Linked DNA regions of Caenorhabditis elegans. The protein of the gene in region 1 interacts with the protein of each later gene in a pairwise test. Each region holds a gene or a part of one and is shown on either strand. Other genes may lie near its edges.

Region 1 (3,419 bases):
GTGTTCGGGATGTATACCTTGTTAATTACAACAGTAAGAATTTCATGCTCCGGGACCGGCTCCGGTTCCTCGCTTCCTTCGAGAATTTTTGGAATACAAGCCGCCTGAACCGGCGTCGCAGTTTTAATTTGCATAGTTTCGAGCTGTTGGTTGATCCAGGAGCACACGCCGAGCTGGGAGAATTTCTTAGTTGTCATGTTGTCTTCGGAGATTTGAATGGGCTTTGGGGTGTCATCTGATGACTTGAATTCATCGCCTTCTTCTCCATCGGATTTTTCTTTATCTGAAACTTAGTTTTTCCTCGCCCTTGACAGCTTCTTCAATTTCCTCAAAATCTTCATTTTTCACGTTTCCTGAGCTAGGAGGCTCTTCCTGTTCTTCATTCATCTCCAAATCATCATCATTGTCCGGTAGAATTGCGTCTGGCATGATTTTGGCTGTAAATTCATAGAATGTTCGAGTTTTTTTTATTTTTAATTTTTTTGTAAAAATTAATTTTTCGTTTTTTCTCAATTTTTTGTCCGAAAAAAAATAAGAAAAGTTCGAATTTCTGTGTTTTTTAAGGCGATTGAATTTATGCAAGTCAAGTTCAGTCGACATCCCGAAAAATTCTGATCGACGTCGAAACCACTCCAAAAGCTATGTTATAGTTTTATTACAACTGTAATTATTAAAAAGCAAAACGAATTACACATGAAATTATTGAAAAATTAATTAAAACGAGGTATTAAAGAGATGGAAATTCCGTTGGATCCAGCATCCCTCGATTACAAGCTGGACAAACGCTCTTTTCCTTGAACCATTGGGAAGCGCACTGAAAATTTTGAAATTTATTTATGAAAAGGTTTTTGAAATGAATAATCTTACATCGAGATGAAACCGACGTCTACACGAATTGCATTTGATAGTTTTTTCAGTCGAAATAACGTCGTCCAGACAGATAAGGCATCGAGCATCTGATAGCTCGGCGCTAGAGCTTGAAATTGATGAAGAAAAGGAGACTGACGGGATGGATCCTTTTTCGCTGGAGGTTGAAGCTTTGAGCTTCTCTGCGCCATTCAGAAGAGCTTTTTCATATTCTTGCATAAACGAATCCGAGAAGGATGGAAATTCCGGAAGCTTCTTGAGCTGAATTCGAGTAGAATTGTCGTTTGACATCAGAATCTCTTCAATATTCTCATCCAACACTAGCATGAAATTCTGGAATGCTCGATTGAACTTGATCAGCTCGTATTTCGCGGCACGCATCGTAACTTCATCTGCCGATAGTCTGAAAAATACAAATTAAAATTTTAGTTGAATGCCGTAATTAAAAATACCTGGCGACAAGTTCCGCGGCTCGTCGCATTGGATTTTCCTTCAAAATCAAATTCCTCGTCGATTCTAGGCCTTCCAACGTGTTTACCATGATTTCCAATCGATAAACTCTAAAACTTAATATATTCTGGGAAAAATAATATTTTTAAAACCAGTTAACGACAAAATCACACAGAGAAAGCTGCACAATTCAGAAAAGATCCGAAAAATCGATAAATCCAGCGTGGCAAACAAAACGTGGGCCTACCGTACCGCTTCAAGGGACATGGTATAATTCTTGCACGGGTTTCGCAACGATTGAGTAGTTAATTAATTTAAATGGAGGTAAAATTAAGAATTTCGAATTTGTTGAATAATTTATATATTTTTCAATATTATTTCCAAAAAAAAAACAAATAAAATAAGGAAAATTTGAATTTAATTGACATCTTTCTGAACGAAAAAGCCAAAGCGGAAATTAAATCCTACCGTACCCATTTTTAAAGGCGCACAAAGTTTTATCGGGCCAAGATCCCGCCGCGTCTTTGAAATTTCCAGGCACAGAATTAAAAATAAAAGAGGTTTTAAGAGGAAACCACATGTTGAAAAAGGTTTATTTACAATTCCAAAAAAAACACTTTTATAGTAAAAATACAATTACTTGATGCTTGGCTGTGTTAGTTCCTCGTTTCGATACATATTGACGGTTTTTGAACAAGTTTCTCGAATTGAACGTTCCAAATTAAAGGGAATTATGCAAATTTCTGGATTATTCGGAAAAAAGTTTCACTGATGACTGAAAAAGGAGAAGAATAATATTGTTGGATAGTATAAAAAATGACAAAAAGTAGAGTGCCTAGTTTTTGTCTTTGTCATAAACCTTTGATATTTTTTCCAAGTCATAAATTATTTTTTTTCAAGTTTCTTTTTTTTGAAACTTTGTTTCAAATTTGTAGTTTTTACAGGAATAAAAATCTAGAGGCTTCCGATTTCGGATATGGCTATTGACCAAGGGACGAAAAATGTGCTCCGACTATCGATTTCATTTTTGCTCCTATTTTTTGCTTATATGAGTCAAGAATACATACAAGAACCACTTATCGAGGAAAAGCATAAAACCGGTGGGAATATTGATCCTCACGCCGGTTATCATAGGTTTGTCTCTTCTATATGGTCACTTTTTCAAAAGCAAAACTGATTTTAGTTTTGCTATAACTTACTTCTTTTTCACACTTTCTTGCCTATTTGTTGCTCCAATAATTGATAAGATTTCCGCGAAATGGGGAATGGTTCTGAGATTTTCGGCATATATTGCATTTCAATATGGATTTATACATATGAATACTTATTATGTGTACATTACTTCAGCGAGTTTGGGTGTCGGTGGTGCTTGTAAGTATGAATCAGGAGGGCTTCGCAAATGTTCTGAAACTTTCAGTCATATGGGTTGGCCAGGGAAAATATCTGACGGAAAACTGCACAAGTGAAACTATTGAACGAAATATTGCTCTGACTTGGTTCATTTTTAAGTTCTGGTGAGTACTTCCATCAATTCTCTGTACCATTTTGATTTTTCAAGCCTCCTCGGTGGTGGAATATTTCTCTACGTTCTGTTCTACAATCAAAAAATGAACGAATTTCTGGAATCTGGAGATGTATTGTATTTCCAACATCCATCTGTTTCTAATTCTGCCAATTTTCAGTACAAAACATTCGTCTATATCTGTTGTTCCATTTCTCTATTGGCGGCGATTAACACGGCATTTCTGCCACAATCAGTGTATGTTCCGGAGAGAAAGAAGCATGAGACGTTCGCGAAGACATTGAGTGAGTTTATGGTAGGTCGCCTTTATGCCTGCCTGCCTACCACCTAATCTAAATTGAGTGTGAGCACAATGTCACTGACTGAAGATTATTTCATTTTGACTGTTAATGAAAGTTCAGCTGCTCGGCAGTAGGCACATATACAGCCCATCATCGGGCAGGCGTAGGTTGTCAGGGAAGTAGGCAGATTTTTTTTGCTTTTTGCCTGCCTATCTATCTACCTAACAGTATGAGACCTAGTTTTGAAATGTTTTCCAAAATTTTTCGGAGTAGAGAAAATTGCGAAAAAATCACATTAA
Region 2 (7,201 bases), on another chromosome or scaffold:
TCCGGCAATCTATCGATTTGCCGGAAATTTTCAATTCCGGCAATTTATCGATTTGCCGGAAATTTCAATTCCGGCAATTTGTCGATTTGCCGGAAATTTACAAATTCGGCAATTTGCTGGTTTGCCAGAAAATTTCCATTCCGAAAAATTGCCGGTTTGCCTAACTTGCCAGAAAATTTCCATTCCGAAAAATTGCCGGTTTGCCTAACTTGTCAGAAAATTTCCATTCCGAAAAATTGCCTGTTTGCCAAACTTGCCAGAAAATTTCCATTCCGAAAAATTGCCGGTTTGCCAAACTTGCCAGAAAATTTCCATTCCGAAAAATTGCCGGTTCACCTAACTTGTCAGAAAATTTCCATTCCGAAAAATTGCCGGTTTGCCTAACTTGCCAGAAAATTCAATTATGGCAATGTTGCGATTATCGTTTTGAAATTCTGAAATTTCCAGAAAATAAACTTGCAAACCCACAACTTGCCGAAGTGTTTTTTTCCGGCAAATTGCCGATTTGCCGCACTTGCCGGAAATTTTCCTTTCCGTCAAATTGCCGAATTGCCGGAAATTTCAATTCCGGCAATTTGTCGATTTGCCGGAAATTTACAAATTCGGCAATTTGCTGGTTTGACAGAAAATTTCCATTCCGAAAAATTGCCGGTTTGCCTAACTTGTCAGAAAATATCCAGTCCGGCAAATTGCCGGTTCGCCGAACTTGCCGGAAATGTTCCATTCCGGCAAAAATATTTAGACTACAAGGAGAATAAATGAATAAGAACACATTTTCAAAAAGTACAACCATCGGATAAATTCCATAATTTATTTAACAACAGATTCTTTATCATCATTATCATTTTGTAACAAACACAAATTATCAGCAACAAAACGGCACAGCTCTTCCAAATCCAAAGTTTTATTGTTTTTAATTAGTTGATCTAACATGTCTTTAGGAATTGAGGTGACTAGGGGAGCAGCTTTTGGTACCGTTTGCTTAACATATTCGTCTGCCAACTCGGCAAGTTTTGTCTCACGATGATGCTCCTGTAATAAGTTATTTTTAAAAAAATATTCTGGAAAAATTTACAATTTTATTGGGAAATTCTAAAAAATGAACTAAAATTACATGATTCGTCTCGAAATAAAATTTTTTTCAACTAGAACTTTAGGCTAATTTAGGCCAATTTTTGAGCATTCTCCCCAATGTTTCAGTTAACGGGATTTTCTTCATTTTGACTGTTTCAGGTAAGAATTTATATAAACGAACATGTTCATGTGCAGATATTTGATACAAATGCTGTCTCCACTCCATTTGCTGCTTTGCTCGGATTTTTCGGGAACCTAAAGTCCCAATTACTCCGTTTTTTAGACGTAGGTCTTCAGCAGCTTTTTCAAATTCTTCTCGAGCACTGGCGAGCCTCTATAATTTGGTTAATAATTTTAAAATTGACTTTTCAAAAGAAAAAGTCGGAAATTCAGAAATTCCACAAAAAAAGTTTAAAAACGGGATTTACAAACTAAGGAGAACTCCCCGACCAATCACCATCTTTGAACTACGCCCACTCGATCTGATTGGTGGAAAAGTGGGCGGAGCAAATCGCTGATTGGTCGCAGTTCTCAGTTTTGCATTTTTGAAAAAACTCAAACTAAAGTAGGACTTTTTTATTTATTCGCTATTTTTTTGACAAATCGGCAAATCGGCAAATTGAAAAATTCCGGCAAATCGGCAAATTGAAAATTTTCGGCAAAACGGCAAATTGAAAAATTCCGGCAAACCGGCAAATTGAAAATTTCCGGCAAATCGGCAAATTGAAAACTTCCGGCAAATCGGCAAACTGATGGAATTGAAAATTTCCGGCAAATCGGCAAATTGCAGGAATTGAAAAATTTCCAGCAATTCGACAAATCAACAAATTGCCGGTATTGAAAGTTTCCGGCAAATCGGCATATTGCCGGAATTTATAATTTCTGGCAAATCGGAAAATTGCCGTTATTGAAAATTCCCGGCAAATCGGCAAATTGCCGGAATTGAAAAATTCCGGCAAATCGGTAAATTGAAAATTTCCGCAAATCGTCAAACTTCAGGAGTTGAAAATTTCCGGCAAATCGACAAATTGCCGGAATTGAAAATTTCTGGCAAATCGGCTAACCGGCAAAATAAATTTTCGGCAAATTGGTCACTTTTTTTTTGAAATTTAGAGAAAAAACCTACATGAAAATTCAAATTAACAGTTTCATCCTGTGCAAACATTTCAGCAAACTTCTTATTCAATTCCATTTTCTCATTTTCATATTCCAATTTCAGCCGTTCTACTCCAATTTCTGACATCATTTTTCTCAAATCCACTGCAAAATTCGCATTTTTCTCTTTTATCGCCGTTTTATTTTTGAGAAGTTGAATGCGTTTTTTGATTTGATTACTTCGAATTTCCGCATGCTTTCGTTGATCTTTTTTCTTTTGAACACACTTTCGGGCGTACTCACGGTTTTTGGCCATTTGACGGTGACGTTCCTGAATAATTTGGATTTAAAATTGATATTCTTGCCAAAGTTGAAATTTCCGGCAAATTGGCAAATTGCCGATATTGAAATTTCCAGCAAATCGGCATTTTTTGTCGAAAATCAAAATTCCGGCAAATCGGCAGTTTTTTGCCGAAAATCAAAATTCCGGCAGATCGGCAGTTTTATTGCGGAAAAGCAAAATTTCCGGCAAATCGGCATTTTTTTTTTGCTGAAAATCAAATTTTCCGGCAAATTTTTTTCGGGCAAAATTGGGAAATCGAAAAATTGCCGGAATTGAAAATTTCCGGCAAATCGGCAAATTGATGGAATTGAAAATTTCCGGCAAATCGGCAAAATCGATGGAATTGAAAATTTCCGGCAAATCGGTAAGTTTCAGGAATTGAAAACTTCCAGCAAATCGGCAAATCAGCAAACTGCCGGAATTTAAAGCTTCCGGCAAATCGGAAAATCGGTACATTTTCGGAATTGAAAACTTCCGGCAAACGGCAAATCGGCAGTTTTTTTTTGCCGGAAATCATAATTTTTTGCAAATCGGCAAACCATCAATTTGCCGATTTGCCAAATTCGTCGACAAAAAAATTTGCTGAGCCCCAATTGCTATCCTGATTTGAGTGAGGCTTTTCAGAAAAATTTGGAAATTATTTTCAGATATAACAAATCTTTTTCTACACTACAAAAAATAGGCGTTAGGCGGGCATGTACATCTAACCTAAATTTTGTACTAGAAGTTGTAAAAAATCCACACAAACCTGTTCTCTCTTGTCCATCTTACTCGGATCTTTATTCAATTTCTTAAATTCCTCTTCCCACTCCAAATCCCCATCTGTATCCATCTTTGAGTAGCCTTCATTGTAATTATTATCAGTGTACTCATCTTCTATATCATCCAACATCTTCGCCTCTACTTCTTGTTTTATCTCCACTGGACCCATGTTTTGCAGTTGGCTCATTAAAAAGTTGAATACAAAGTTCTGGGAGCCTGACGATTCATTGTTATCTGACGACTCGTGTTCCAGCTTTACCGAATTCTGGTTGTTTTGCGTGGAGTCAAAGTGTTTTAGAATCATGTCACGACTGCCACTTGTTTCGTTATTCATTCTGTAAAATTTGGAATTTTTTGGTCTTGTCTGAAACTTTCGGGCCAGGCCCAATTGTGCATTTTAAAAAATTTTTCGCATCGTCTTTCGCTTATTGGTTCCTCGTCTTTCGCTTATTGGTTCGCGACTGTTTTTGTAACGAACTTATGAGAAAGTTTGCTGATTCTTATCAAAACACTAATTTTGCCGATTTGCCAGAAATTTTGATTTTCGGCAAATTGCCGATTTGCCAGAAATTTTAAAAGGGATTTTTCAACATTAATGTAGGAAAAAAGTTTGCCGATTAAAATTGAAATTTTGAAATTTCCAAAAAAAAAGTGCAAAATCATAATTTGCCAAACATTTTCGGCAAAAGGCGTTTTTCCGGAAATTTCGGCAAATCGACAGTTTGCCGCTTTTCCGATTTGGCGGAAATTTTTAATTCCTGCAATTTGCGGATTTGCCCGATTTGCCGGAAATTTCAATTCCGGCAATTTACCGATCTTCCGGAAATTTTAATTCCGGCAATTTGCCGATTTTCCGGAAATTTTCAGTTCCGGCATTTTGCCGATTTGCCGGAAATTTTTAATTCCGGCAATTTACCGGTAATTTTTAGGTCCGGCAATTTGCCGATTTGTCCGATCATCCGGGAATTTTAATTCCGGCATTTTACCGATTTAAAGGAAATTTCAATTCCGGCAATTTTCCGATTTGCCGGAAATTTTAATTCCGGCAATTTGCCGATATGCCCGATTTGCCGGAAATAGTTAATTCCGGCAATTTGCCAATTTACCGGAATTTTTTAATTCCGGCAATTTACCGGTAATTTTTAGGTCCGGCAATTTGCCGATTTGTCCGATCATCCGGGAATTTTAATTCCGGCATTTTACCGATTTAAAGGAAATTTCAGTTTCGACATATTGCTGATTTTCCGGAAGTTTTCAATTCCGGCAATTTGCCGATATGCCCGATTTGCCGGAAATAGTTAATTCCGGCAATTTTCCGATTTGCCGGAAATTTTAATTCCGGCAATTTGCCGATATGCCCGATTTGCCGGAAATAGTTAATTCCGGCAATTTTCCGATTTGCCGGAAATTTTTAATTCCGGCAATTTGCCGATATGCCCGATTTGCCGGAAATAGTTAATTCCGGCAATTTGCCAATTTACCGGAAATTTTTAATTCCGGCAATTTGCCGATTTGCCGGTAATTTTTTATTCCGGCAAATTGCCGACTTGCCGATTTCGCCAAACGACAATTGCCACCCACCCTGTTTTGGACGCGAGATATACATACACGTCGCCAGCAACCGGCAATTGCCAAAGTTTCTGCAACCGGCAGCTTCTGGTTGCGGAAACTTCGGAACTTCGGCAATTTGGCCCCTAATGTAAGAGCCCTGATGCCCATCGTGAACTCACTGATGCATTCAGGAATCTACAGTAATCATCAAGGGCGGAGCTTGATCCTTCCATATTTTCCTAACCAAAATTTCAAAACATACCTATCCCCAGTTCCTTAGATTCAAAATCGTCGTTGTCAGTCAAAAAAAAGGCAAGAGACCAATGGTGGGGGAGACAGTGTGTGTGTGTGTGTGTGTGTGATAAGAGAACACAACTTCTTGCTAAGAAGAGTGAAGACAGTGAATGCATGATGTTTGCCTGCATCATGACATCGTTTGATTGTATTGAATAGAGGAGGAGGGCAGCATCAAAAAAATGAGAAATAGTCAGAGGAAAGATGTGAGAGCCTTAGAGAAAACAGAGTAGGAAATACTGTGCGACATACTTGGTATCTGAGCAGTGGTTGAGACAGTGGGGGGGGGGGGGGACAGTGAAGGTGATTAGCAAGATTGATAAGAGACTGTTGATGGGGGATGGGCACTGATTGCTGTAATTTCCAATACATCGCAATTGTACATTCGATGGATGTAAATGCAATTGACAGATTAATTAGGTATTATATTGTATAAAAATGGGTTGGAAAGGCATATCAAAAGCTGAAAAAAGGTATCTATAGAAACCCATTCCAAAACCAAATTTCAGAAGCATCACGTGGTGCTAGGCTGTCCCATTACGGTTTGATCTACAAAAAATGCGGGAATTTTTCGCCCAAAAATATGTGACGTCAGCACGTTCTTAACCATGCAAAATCAGTTGAGAACTCTGCGTCTCTTTCCCCGCAATTTTTGTAGATCAAACCGAAATGGGACGCAATGAAGCATTACAATGAAGCATTACAGCGAAAAATGAAAGATAAATCTTTCCAGGACATGTAGCAAAAGCGGTTCTGTGGCTCGAGAAAGGTTTGAAAAAATGAAGAACAATGTATTCTTGAGCAGAATCCATGTAATATTTTGGTAGTTGAAACCCTGATTTTAGAATTTATCCAAATGAATTCTCGGAATTTTCAGTTTTAATAATATAATTCATTAGATTCACAGTGAAGTGAAACCTGATTAAAAAAGGATTAAAGGACGAAATATAATTTTTGTCTGAAGCCTACAGGAAAAATGTTTCATTGTTGAAGTGGAAATTTTCATTTTCGACAATTTGCCGGTTTGCCGGAAATTTTTGTTTTAGACAAATTGCCGATTTGTCGGAAACGTTCAGTTCCGGCAATTTGCCGATTTGCCGGAAATTTTCAGTTACGACAATTTGCCGATTTTCCAGGAATTTTCAGTTCCGGCAATTTTCTGATTTGCCAAAAAAAAATTACGGCAATTTGCCGAGTTGCCATTTGCCGGATATCAGATTTGCCGGAAATTTTTAGAGGGGTTTTTTTAAAGACGGAAACACTTAAAACTGTGCCTTTTTGAAAAATTCGTTTCCTGTTATGTTTAGATATTTTCATAGAACTTGCTTTTTTATTTTGACAAAAATTTCCGGCTATTGCAGTTTTTCAATCCGGCAAATAGACGATTTGCCAATTTGCCGATATGCTGTAAATTTTCAAATCCGGCAATTGCCGTTTTTCTGGCCAATTCGGCAAAAAGACATTTTGCCGATTTGCCGATTTGCCGGAAATTTTTAATTCCAGCAACTTGCCGATTTGAAATGTGTTTTCCAAGTCTACATTTAATGATAAAGTATAGAAAAGTATTTGATTTGATTGAAAACAACTATAATTTGGATTGGAAAAACTGAAAAAGTGCTGAAAGTTTATCTGGAAGTTGAAACTGCTCGAAAAAAAATGTAAACCTTTAAAAAAATTTTCGAGGACTTTTCAGTTTTTTAAATTTAAAGGGTGAAGTAATCTTTAGTAGTAGGAAAACTAGTTTTCAAAATCTTTCGTTTTAATAGGAATTTCAATATTTTATAGATTGACCAACCTAAAAAAGCTTTTTTTCATCAAGTTTTATTATCATATTGCATCCAGTTTTCCAGTTTTTTTTCTAGAATTCACTAAATTTATCAAAAATAGCGGCCCATGCAAATTTCCGGAAAATCGGCAAGTTGTCGGAATTGAAAATGTCCGTCAAATCGGCAAACCGGCGAATTGCCGATTTGCCAGAAAAACGGCCAAATTGTGGTTTAGCAAATTTTGTTTTGGAAATTTCAGAATTTCAATTTTGATTGGCAAAATTGTACACACCCTAGAAATGACCCTTCATCTATT

What was found.
Region 2: the proteins of Y52E8A.2 (region 1) and zip-12 interact in a two-hybrid assay, tested with the Caenorhabditis elegans proteins (one large-scale study listed by BioGRID).

What each region holds. Positions count from the first base shown.
Region 1 is NC_003280.10:4,318,844-4,322,262, reverse strand, and holds Y52E8A.2 (RING-type domain-containing protein), read right to left. Parts: upstream 1,428-3,419; 5' UTR 1,409-1,427; coding exon 1,320-1,408; intron 1,271-1,319; coding exon 868-1,270; intron 815-867; coding exon 728-814; 3' UTR 646-727; downstream 1-645. Other genes in the region: Y52E8A.1 (RNA helicase), read right to left, coding at 18-197; Y52E8A.6 (UNC93-like protein MFSD11), read left to right, coding at 2,294-2,451, 2,501-2,688, 2,735-2,831, 2,876-2,951, 3,000-3,123.
Region 2 is NC_003281.10:12,325,872-12,333,072, reverse strand, and holds zip-12 (BZIP domain-containing protein), read right to left. Parts: upstream 5,407-7,201; 5' UTR 5,127-5,406; coding exon of another isoform or gene 5,088-5,126; intron 3,610-5,087; 5' UTR 3,609-3,609; coding exon 3,261-3,608; intron 2,501-3,260; coding exon 2,201-2,500; intron 1,409-2,200; coding exon 1,256-1,408; intron 1,033-1,255; coding exon 811-1,032; 3' UTR 799-810; downstream 1-798.